4 linked regions of the Saccharomyces cerevisiae S288C genome follow. Each later gene encodes a partner of the first gene's protein in a complex. Each region holds a gene or a part of one and is shown in the gene's direction. Other genes may lie near its edges.

Region 1 (2,884 bases):
CCCAACCGCCGATATTCATGTTGTATTTTATTATGGCGTGCTTTCTAGAAACGACTTTGGCAGGTCCGAGATCAATATTCACTCTATATGAGTTTTTTACACCATCTGAATTTTCCTGTAGTGCACTGTTTAAGGGATCAGTATTTCTACCAATAGAAACTTCCAAATCCTTCACATAATAGGTCCAGTTTGGTCCGGAGAGTTTAGCATAAGCTTGTATTTCCGTCGCCATGTTCTTGTCGTTGGAATATTGTAATGATACGGTAGTTGGCTGATCTGGGGCTGTCAGTGAAGAGATGATGGCATTTATTACACCTTGATGATGCTGAGCGGTATATTTTGTGCTGCCATAATTTGTTTGAGTCATATTTAGTTCGTTCATCTCGTTAAAATTGCTGCTGGACATTTCTTGCGCATTGATAAAGTTTCAATAAAGGAAACGGAGGGAGCACACCAATATTTATGTGTATCGTACTGTTTTTTTTTTTTTTTTCTAGCAATGATCACTTATGCGAGGGAATCGGGAAGATTGGCTTTGAAGTGTTTTTAGCCTTTTGTTCCTTAGTATGATCTTGATTATTGAGCGGTTCAATTCAGTGGAAAAGGACTGCTCTATAGTGTTTTAAGTTTTACAGAAATATAGTGATCCTATGAATGTCACTTTTTTGTTTACCTTTAGAAATGCGGAACCATTGGCATTTTTTTTCTTTATTTACTAATTTACCTAGAAAATCCAAATGGCACAGGGCGAGCGAATTTTTTTTCCCTCTTTTAATGAGCGAAATCGAAGATTTTCGGTAATGTTGTGCGAAGGGTTCTGGGGCGGGGTCCGGCATAAGTCATCATCAATGCTAAGGGAACGATTATATGGCACAGAAAGAGACAGGAAGAAGAGGCCATCAAAATGTTGCAGCTTAAGGGATAAGCATAAAGCGTAATCAATAAAAAACAGCCTGTACCCAACAGGCAGCAAATTTTTGAAAGCCTGTTGCAAGATACATATGACACAAATTATTAAAATATGTTGAATTAATATTCAGTTCTTACAGTTGACATGATCCGACTCAAATGTTAATGTTCTTGAGGTTCTATAGTTTCAAAATAGCTTTTTACTTTCTGCTATTGGACCCTTTTGGACCAGCCGAAGGAAGTTTTTTTTCTTTATGTTTAGCTCTTTTTTCATCACTTCTAATTCGCAAATAGAAGGGGAAGGAGGACAGCAATTATGTAAAAATTAATTAGTATGTCAGTAACAAAAAGAAGAGATAACAGAGGTAGTTCCTCTAGACATTTTTAAGACGACTATTGATGCCAGGCAAATTTTGGATTTACTGCTCCTCTTTTAAGAAGACAAGTGTGTGATATCGTAGCGGTAGGAACCAATTTTGCAATCGATTTACTTACAGCCAAGAAAATCTATTTTCATGTTTAGCATTGCCATTTCTTCTGTGTCACACGTTGTGCTTGCCAGGAACTATAGGAGAGACGTATACAAGCATCAATGTTACGAATGTACGATCCCGTTTGCATCTGATGTGTAAACTCATGTGGTGCACTGGTGTTGTTTCCAAGACTGCACTATTAACTGGGAATTTTTTTTTTTCTTCTAGTGAATTTTTTTTTAAAGCGACGCACAGGAAAAGTGAAAATTATTTAAACGGACGGCAAACATGAAAAAAAAAATTACCAACCATATTTCTATTTCCTTTCCCTTTACCTATTCTCTTTTTGAAATAGTTCATTTTCTCTCTCTGAAACGACAATAAACCAAACTCTAGCCTCCAATAGTCACTAAAGATGAAGTACATTCAAACCGAACAACAAATTGAAATCCCAGAAGGTGTTACTGTCAGCATTAAGTCCAGAATCGTCAAGGTTGTCGGTCCAAGAGGTACTTTGACCAAGAACTTGAAGCATATTGATGTTACCTTCACCAAGGTCAACAACCAATTGATCAAGGTTGCTGTTCACAACGGTGACAGAAAGCACGTTGCCGCTTTGAGAACCGTTAAATCTTTGGTTGACAACATGATCACTGGTGTCACCAAGGGTTACAAGTACAAGATGAGATACGTCTACGCGCATTTCCCAATCAACGTCAACATTGTTGAAAAGGATGGTGCTAAATTCATTGAAGTCAGAAACTTTTTGGGTGACAAGAAGATCAGAAACGTCCCAGTTAGAGATGGTGTTACTATCGAATTCTCTACTAACGTAAAGGACGAAATCGTCTTATCTGGTAACTCTGTTGAAGACGTTTCCCAAAATGCCGCTGACTTGCAACAAATCTGTCGTGTTAGAAACAAGGATATCCGTAAGTTTTTGGATGGTATCTACGTTTCCCACAAGGGTTTCATTGTCGAAGACATGTAAATGGAACAAAAAAGTGTCTTTGCGCTTAGAGGCGCTTAAATATGTACATTATTCCTACTTTTTTATTTAGTATTATGTAAAGACTGAGGTTCTTTGTCATTGGATGTGCCTCACTTCCAATGATGAATTGACAGGCTCTCTAGGGAATGCTGTCAAGGGGAAACGTTGCTAGTGCTCATTGAAATAAAGAGCCACTTTACGTTTTCTCAAATTGCTTTTGTTTTTTCTTCTATTGATGCTAATTGCATATTTTTTGGTAAAGGAAAGAAACACTAAAAAATAAATATTCTCTAATACGTTACAAATGATTTTCTTTTTTCTTGAGTCTTGCAATCATACCCGTAGCTTTCTCTTGTTCTTCGGCTATTGCTTTAAATCAAAATGATATCTGGGTGTACCAGCAAGTTTCGAAATGAAAACATAAAAATATGGTTACCCGACATATATGCTGGTTTAATACTGGTTAAACTGAACAGAAGCATCTCTTTTCTCTATTAGGACGTAAACGACA
Region 2 (2,384 bases), on another chromosome or scaffold:
GCCGGTACATCCGTCACCTACAGCAGAACGTGAGCACGTGACCGTGCACCAATGGGAAGCACGTTCCGGGCATATCGGACTGGGGCGCGCCTCCCCTGCGCGGTGCTTGTTATAAGAGGCGCTTTGCTGGAAAGTGGCCCACACCGGGTTTTCGAGATTAGGACCTACTCAGTCTTAAGGGCAGTATTGGTTGGCGCTTATTTGCACATATTGTATACACGCACTCACATTAACAGAAGCACACATATACACTTACACCTACACACACGGATAAAGAAAAAGAAATAGAAAATGGGCATGTTGGAACTAGTTGGTGAGTACTGGGAACAACTAAAGATAACCGTTGTGCCTGTTGTGGCCGCGGCCGAAGATGACGATAACGAGCAGCATGAAGAAAAGGCAGCAGAAGGAGAAGAAAAAGAAGAAGAAAATGGGGATGAAGATGAGGATGAAGACGAAGACGAAGATGATGATGATGATGACGACGAAGATGAGGAAGAAGAGGAAGAAGTCACTGATCAGTTGGAAGATTTGAGAGAACATTTCAAGAACACGGAGGAGGGTAAGGCCCTTGTGCACCACTACGAGGAGTGTGCTGAGAGAGTCAAGATACAGCAACAACAACCCGGCTACGCGGATCTTGAACACAAGGAGGACTGTGTGGAGGAGTTTTTCCATCTACAGCACTATTTGGACACTGCCACGGCACCTAGATTATTTGACAAATTAAAGTAGTCTGTTTATCCGTCATATTCCCTATATTCATATTTATTCTGAGTCTTGTTACAATTTCTTCAAGAAACCGATCCTTATTTAACCTACTGTATTTAGAAAGTAAATAAATAAACTAAAATCAAAGCAAAAATAATTTTATACACTATTCTTATTTTTATTTTTTAATTTTTAATTTTTTTTATAAGGGAGCACAAGTATACAGACGGAAAAGGGATTAGGCTTTTTTTATGCGCTCTGTCTAGTACTGTTTTCTTTTACATCCGTACATACTCTTAGACCCATACAGCGCATGTATTCTTGTTTTCGACTTTTTTTTGGTTTTTTTTTTTTAGTTCTGTAAGGACAAAGAAAAATGGTCGCTAGCCGCGCTCGGGAAAACCAGCGATATTCTCAATGTAGGAAGTCTACCATTTTCCCTTTAGGCTTTGCCATAATCTCTGGATACATACAATTTCAGAATATTTCAATACTGCATATTTCAAGATTCAACCCATTATTTTATAACATTTTTCATTCAATATTCAAGAACCCCGGAACAACAATACAGTTAGAAAGTACGTTATATTATCATGAAGTCCCCATTTCGCCCATTGGAAATGCAGGTAGCCAAATCTGAGGTGCGCTGAGTGGCATATAGTGGAGGATATAAAGAAAAAAAGAGAGAAGGGAAAATAATGGAAAGTTACCAGTGTTTGAACTTATAGCGAACGCTCTTTCTCGAACGTTCAATTACCTTTAGCATACCCTTGTTCGAAGTTGCCCCCGCTAGCACCACTTCAGATTGGCAGTTAGCTGCCACGCTACTCCCCTCCACCGTTATGAATCATTTTTACTAACCTTTAATGACCATTCGCAATTTCTGCGTACATTCATCGTCTTCTCCAGAAAATGGCTAAGTCTAAGAACCATACCGCTCACAACCAAACCAGAAAGGCTCACAGAAACGGTATCAAGAAGCCAAAGACCTACAAGTACCCTTCTTTGAAAGGTGTTGATCCAAAGTTTAGAAGAAACCACAAGCATGCCCTACACGGCACTGCTAAGGCTTTGGCTGCTGCCAAGAAATAAACTTTTTAAGATTATAATACGTTAAAAATTTACATATTATTTTGTCTGATTTTATATAACATGTTTTATTATCTTAATTGAAGGAAAATTTATCTCAATATCCAGTACCGTTTTCTTTTTTTATTTCTTTTTTTTTTTCTTTTAATTTTCTTTTTCCTCCTTATGTGCCACAAAATGGAAGCGTCACAAATTAATAACAAAAGATAAATGATGTATAAAACAATGGTGTTGACCTTCTACTGAGTAGCAACACATAGAGAAGTATAAGGCCTCACATAAGCATACAAACAAGCCCGCAATGACAGAACAAGTTAACAATGACACTACCAGTGACACTACCACTACCATTACCACAGTTTACATTTCGAACCTGCCATTCACGGCGAGTGAGCGAGACCTACATGCCTTCCTAAACAACTATGGCGCCAGTTCAGTGTTGATTCCAACGCAGACCGTCCGCAGATTCAGCAAAAGGCACAATAGCAACCCTCGCAAACCACTAGGCATAGCATTTGCCCAGTTCGCAAACAATACTCTGGCTTTGAAGGCCATTCAAGACTTGAACGGAACCGTTTTCCAAA
Region 3 (3,205 bases), on another chromosome or scaffold:
AGATAGGAATGGCTATTCAGATCCATTTGTTCACATCTTTGTCAATGATAAAAAAGTTTTCAAATCGAACATTAAAAAGAAAACATTGGATCCCGTATGGAACGAAGATGCTAAAATACCAATCCTTTCAAGAAGTAAGAATCAAGTCATATTTAATGTTCTTGATTGGGATCGTGCAGGTGATAATGACGACTTAGGCCAAGCTTCACTTGACGTTTCCTCATTAGAAGTTGGTAAAACTTACAACTGGAATTTGAATTTAAACACACAAGGAAGTATCAAATTACAAGGTTCATTCAACCCAGAATATATCAAGCCAAGTTTTGATATCGTGAAAGGCGGTATCACTGATAAGCCGATGAAAATAGCCAGTGGTGCAGCCCATGCAACTGTTGGCATAGCTGGTACTGGTATAGGAGCAGCAACAGGAGTTGCCACTGGTGGTTTAAAGAAAGGTGGTCACCTTCTAAAATCTCTAGGTGGCAATCCAATGAAAAGAAGCAAGAGCAGCAATGGAAATGAGTCCAACGGTGCAAAAAAATCATCAGAGAAAAAATCTTTTGATAGGAGATCCCCAAGTAATTTGAATAGCACTAGTGTAACACCAAGAGCTTCACTAGACTATGATCCATCAGTACCTAACACAAGTTACGCGCCCGTTCAAAGCGCATCTCCTGTAGTCAAGCCAACTGACAACACTTCTAGCTCAAGCAACAAAAAAGATACCCCTAGTAGCAACTCTAGAGGACATTCTCGTGCAAGCAGTTTTGCGCGTACTTTAGCTCCTCATGGCACTTACAATGGTTTTATTACCGTGGTTGCTGCGGAAAACGTTGCCAAGCATGTTCAAATTAAGATCTCTTTAACTCAAGGTGGTAGACTAAAACACATATACAAAACGAAAAGCCAAAAAGCCAATAATGATGGTGTTGCCGTATTTGATGAAGAGTGCTCGTTCAAGGCTTCTCCCGAAGCCAATTTGGTACTGGGTGCAATTTCCCATCAAAGACTATCGAGGGACAAAGATCTTGGTATTGCTCAAATCAACTTGGGTGACCCTCAAATTCAACAAGATGGCCAAATTTCTGTAAAATTAGGAGACGGTCATCTGATTGTAAAGATTAATTACGGTAAAGACAAGAATGGTCAGGTACCTCCCGTGCCAGAAGTTCCTCAAGAATACACGCAGTAATAAACAGTGAAAACTATTCTTTTATACGCTCAATAAGGGCACATTTGGTGTGTTAACAGGTGTCTTTTCTGTGTTTGTTATAATTTTGCGCTATTATTATATAACGTTATATTTACTATAATATATTACAACATATATTACAACATATTTCAACGCTCTCCTGTTACTGCTTAGGGAGAAGAAAGAAATGTGAAGACTGCTATTAAATCCGTACATTATTAAAATGTATGGATTTGTTATATTTTTCTTCAGTTTTTTCCTTAACCAGATTCGAAAAGCGGCCCGCCTAGACCATTGCGGTTGCGGCTAAAGCGTTCTGGAGAGGGCTTCTCCGCTGGGCGGACAACAGAAGCGAGAGACACGTTTCCCGTCTGGGAGGACTCACCGGATTTGTCCAGTTTCCCACTGGAGTGTGCTTTGTTCCTTTTGCAAAATTTCGTTGGTATGGAGGTTATCGAATGGAAGGGTTACATGAATAGATTAAATGTACTACTCATTAAAGATTGAATATCAGTTTTACATTAGGCGAAACAACAAAGTAATAGCCATCCAACGAAATGAGTGCCCAAAAAGTATGTTCCTACATGTTAATTTCGAGGGGGAGATGTCAATTTACATTCACGAAGGCATAAGTTTTGAAATTTGATATGATGCCATCAATCTCAGACATATCCATACAAGAAACAATAAGATCAGGACGTCGAACAAAATAATACAATGAAAACTGATAAATGACGTTATACAGTGTACAGTGAGGATAAATGATTAAGGCAGTATACCTTTCAACACAATGTTAATACTATGAGTGAGAAGGTGAGCAAAGCAATAAGGTATATCGACCCTAGCTCATGATTATTTAGTTTCCAAACAAAGGCCCACGTTACAGTTTCAAATCGCTAGGCATAATCTCTCCCTATAAAAATTTATCACCATTCGCAAATCAAGAATACTAACATTAGTCGTTTGATATTTCTTTTTTCCATTTAGGCTCCAAAGTGGTATCCATCCGAAGACGTCGCTGCTCTAAAGAAGACCAGAAAGGCTGCTCGCCCACAAAAGTTGCGTGCCTCTCTAGTTCCAGGTACCGTCTTGATCTTACTAGCTGGTCGTTTCAGAGGTAAGAGAGTTGTTTACTTGAAGCATCTAGAAGACAACACTTTGTTGATTTCTGGTCCATTCAAGGTCAATGGTGTTCCTTTGAGAAGAGTCAATGCTCGTTACGTCATTGCTACCTCTACTAAGGTTTCTGTCGAAGGTGTCAACGTTGAAAAATTCAATGTCGAATACTTTGCTAAGGAAAAATTGACTAAGAAGGAAAAGAAGGAAGCTAACTTGTTCCCAGAACAACAAAACAAGGAAATCAAGGCTGAACGTGTTGAAGACCAAAAGGTTGTCGACAAGGCTTTGATTGCTGAAATCAAGAAGACTCCATTATTGAAGCAATACTTGTCTGCTTCTTTCTCTTTGAAGAACGGTGACAAGCCACACATGTTGAAATTTTAAATATAATTATTTTAACGAACTTCTATAATAATATATATGCAGGTAAAATTATAATTTAACTACAGTTTCATAAGTGCATTTGTATTGAGCATTGGTTTTTTATTCGCATATTTATATCTTCATTGCGGCAATCACCCAGAGAAAGGGCGTGAAAAGAAAAAGGAATACATTATTTCAAGTTCCTTTGATCTTTCCTATAATGTAGACTTTCTTGGCGCAAGACTTGGATGCATCATACAAAATACAAATTGTTAAGCAAAAAAGTGTCGCTCTGCTGTAAGCTTTGTGATGTTATATTTGATCGTATGGTGAGGAAAAACAATACACCTCATGTTATATAATGATCGTTGTTTTAGGTGAGATGTGGAAATAGAAGAGAGATTTTTAAACAAAAAGTAAATGGTTTTAAACGTTGGCAATAACAAGGCCTGCTCACAGCAAATAAAACGGGAATAGAACAGGAACGGGAATAGAACAAAGATAAGAAAATTGAAAGTAGAAAAGACAAAT
Region 4 (2,656 bases), on another chromosome or scaffold:
AGATGTTGGGTACACGCAAGGCATGGGGTTCATTGCAGCGCCGCTATTAATAAACTGTGAAAACGAGGCCGAATCTTTTGGACTACTCGTTGGATTAATGAAGAATTATGGATTAAGAGAGCTTTTCTTACCAGGAATGCCTGGGCTGATGTTAATGCTTTATCAATTTGATAGATTATTAGAGGAGCATTCACCTTCTTTGTACAATCGCTTGATCCGTGAGGGAATTAGCTCCACAATGTACGCTACACAATGGTTTTTGACATTTTTCGCATACAAGTTTCCGTTAGAGTTTGTGTTAAGAATTTTTGATATTGTATTCGTAGAGGGTATTGAAGTGCTTTTGAAGTTTGCTGTAAATTTAATGTTAAAGAATGAAGAAACTTTAGTAAAATTGAGATTCGATGAACTATTGGATTTTTTAAAGGACGAACTCTTCAATTACTATTTAATGGGAAACCAGGATGACGCTTCTGTAGTGCAAATGGGATTGTCAAATGGGAACTCATTTAAGGGCAATGATGACGGCACTTTTTCCTACAATGTCGATCTTTTCGTTCATGATGCAATGACAGGTGTATATATCACACCATTAACATTAAGAAGATACAGGGGAGAGTACGTAGAAATCCATGAAAAAGAGCAAAAAAAAGAGGACCACTACGAATCACTAAGAATTCAAAACCACCAACTACAAAGAGAGGCGCAGAAGCTAGAACACGACTATTCAATTTTGAACAAAGAGAATATCAGCGCCGCTAACGAGCTGATTCAGAACAGATTGAATATGGAGATGCTGTTGGATGAAAAAAACGACCTGATAAATACAATCACTGATATCAAAAGCCAAATTGAGGAAGAGATTCGCAAGCAAAATTTACCGAACCCGGACGCGTCACTACCAAAGGCAGATCTGAGAGAAGACTTGGAAAGGACCATATCCAGGAACAATGAGGTGATGAGGGAGAACGGCCAATTAGAGGAAAGAATCACTGAACTGCAAGCGGAAATCGATGAGTTGATTAACATCAATAAGGAGCAAGTGTCCACGGCATCGTTATTGGAACGAGATTCTAAGGCTAAAGGGAGGAAAGGCTGGACTGGTTTTAAAAAAGTTTTTAAATAGATGTATAGTTTTGCGCTGTGTGCACATTGTGTGCCTCTCCAATTTGTGTTAAAAAATGCATCACGACTCGTTTAGACAATGTTGTTGTTGTTGTTTTTTTTTTGACTGTATTTTCACCCGTACATCCACGGATGTGTTGGGTTTTTGTTTCCGCTTTACCGTGCGGGAGACGACCATGACCGAGAGGTCTGGTTGCGAAAGACGCACATACCGCGTGCGCGGAACTTTTTCATTGGGTTGCCAACCAAGGCTGTTCAGGGAAGCCCGACGAGGGAAGCTAGCATGAATGCACTAGGAGAGAGAGAGAGAGAGAGGCAGAGGAAGAGGCACATCATTGCATTTCTTGAATATTCGTTTTAATTAGCGTTAAGTCTTAAGTTCGTGTATTACCATAGTCAAAACAGAATAGAGAAGCAAGGATAATACAAAATGGCTGTCAAGACTGGTATGTTTACCTGAACTAATGAACTGTAGAGCAAAAGCAAAATGAACTGAACCACTAAGCCAACAACAGAAATACAAACAGGATGAGATTAAGCTCCAGAGATATGCAAACATCGTTTATATCCTGCACCCAGCGTTGCAGTACTCCGTGGAGTCTTTGTTTATTTATTTTGCTCGTATACTACGTGAGTACTAGTGTGCTTGTTACTAACATAAGATATTCTATTTTTTTCCTCTAGGTATCGCTATTGGTTTGAACAAGGGTAAGAAAGTCACCCAAATGACTCCAGCCCCAAAGATCTCCTACAAGAAGGGTGCTGCCTCCAACAGAACCAAGTTCGTCAGATCTTTGGTTAGAGAAATCGCCGGTTTGTCCCCATATGAAAGAAGATTGATCGATTTGATCAGAAACTCCGGTGAAAAGAGAGCCAGAAAGGTCGCCAAGAAGAGATTGGGTTCTTTCACCAGAGCCAAGGCTAAGGTCGAAGAAATGAACAACATCATTGCTGCCTCTCGTCGTCATTAAACAGCGTGAGGGGGCCACAGTCAAGCAAATCCAACTCCGCCACAAGACCGAGTGCTATTTTCCATGGCTCTCCCCCAAAGCTAGTTAATAAAAAATAAGTAACAAATCATTATAGTAATTCTTAATCGATATCTATTTAAGAAGTGTAACAGCACATGCAATGAACCGACTTCGTCATTCATTACCTCTGCTTTTCCCTTTTTCAACAGTCACGTGCGCATCTCCCTTCCGGGTAAGCACCGCACATGCCAAAGACCCTATCCTGGCTCGCCCACTCACTCATCTCCATTAGAGACTCAACCACATTTGTGGGTGTGTTACAGAAGTTACACCATACCCACTGTCCTGGTCCGCAACAGTTGCAAAATCAATGATGCCTGCTACCGTCATGCTATCATGACAAACGATGGCACCTTTGCCAAGCAAAAAACTGTAAACAAAACCAAACCAAGAAGTCCCTTGGGGTTGTGAGCCATATTCTCCATCTGCGTTGTTTCATAACCAGCCCAAAGGGTTGCACGTTCTCTTCCGTCGATCTGGAACCAAGCTGTGGCGCTGCG

Evidence for each region.
Region 2: RPL9B (region 1) and RPL29 share a complex: the UniProt entries of both Saccharomyces cerevisiae proteins name them as parts of the large ribosomal subunit.
Region 3: RPL9B (region 1) and RPL6A share a complex: the UniProt entries of both Saccharomyces cerevisiae proteins name them as parts of the large ribosomal subunit.
Region 4: RPL9B (region 1) and RPL36B share a complex: the UniProt entries of both Saccharomyces cerevisiae proteins name them as parts of the large ribosomal subunit.

What each region holds. Positions count from the first base shown.
Region 1 is NC_001146.8:497,884-500,767, forward strand, and holds RPL9B (60S ribosomal protein uL6 RPL9B), read left to right. Parts: upstream 1-1,797; coding exon 1,798-2,373; downstream 2,374-2,884. Other genes in the region: forkhead family transcription factor FKH2, read right to left, coding at 1-406; YNL067W-B (uncharacterized protein), read left to right, coding at 1,534-1,674. UniProt on the Saccharomyces cerevisiae protein: Component of the ribosome, a large ribonucleoprotein complex responsible for the synthesis of proteins in the cell.
Region 2 is NC_001138.5:222,677-225,060, reverse strand, and holds RPL29 (60S ribosomal protein eL29 RPL29), read left to right. Parts: upstream 1-1,623; coding exon 1,624-1,803; downstream 1,804-2,384. Other genes in the region: phosphate-sensing transcription factor PHO4, read left to right, coding at 1-41; QCR6 (ubiquinol--cytochrome-c reductase subunit 6), read left to right, coding at 292-735; MIN10 (Min10p), read left to right, coding at 1,088-1,351; RRT5 (Rrt5p), read left to right, coding at 2,102-2,384. UniProt on the Saccharomyces cerevisiae protein: Component of the ribosome, a large ribonucleoprotein complex responsible for the synthesis of proteins in the cell.
Region 3 is NC_001145.3:122,717-125,921, reverse strand, and holds RPL6A (60S ribosomal protein eL6 RPL6A), read left to right. Parts: upstream 1-1,749; coding exon 1,750-1,764; intron 1,765-2,179; coding exon 2,180-2,695; downstream 2,696-3,205. Other genes in the region: TCB3 (Tcb3p), read left to right, coding at 1-1,192. UniProt on the Saccharomyces cerevisiae protein: Component of the ribosome, a large ribonucleoprotein complex responsible for the synthesis of proteins in the cell.
Region 4 is NC_001148.4:75,139-77,794, reverse strand, and holds RPL36B (60S ribosomal protein eL36 RPL36B), read left to right. Parts: upstream 1-1,555; coding exon 1,556-1,571; intron 1,572-1,809; coding exon 1,810-2,096; downstream 2,097-2,656. Other genes in the region: GTPase-activating protein GYP5, read left to right, coding at 1-1,126. UniProt on the Saccharomyces cerevisiae protein: Component of the ribosome, a large ribonucleoprotein complex responsible for the synthesis of proteins in the cell.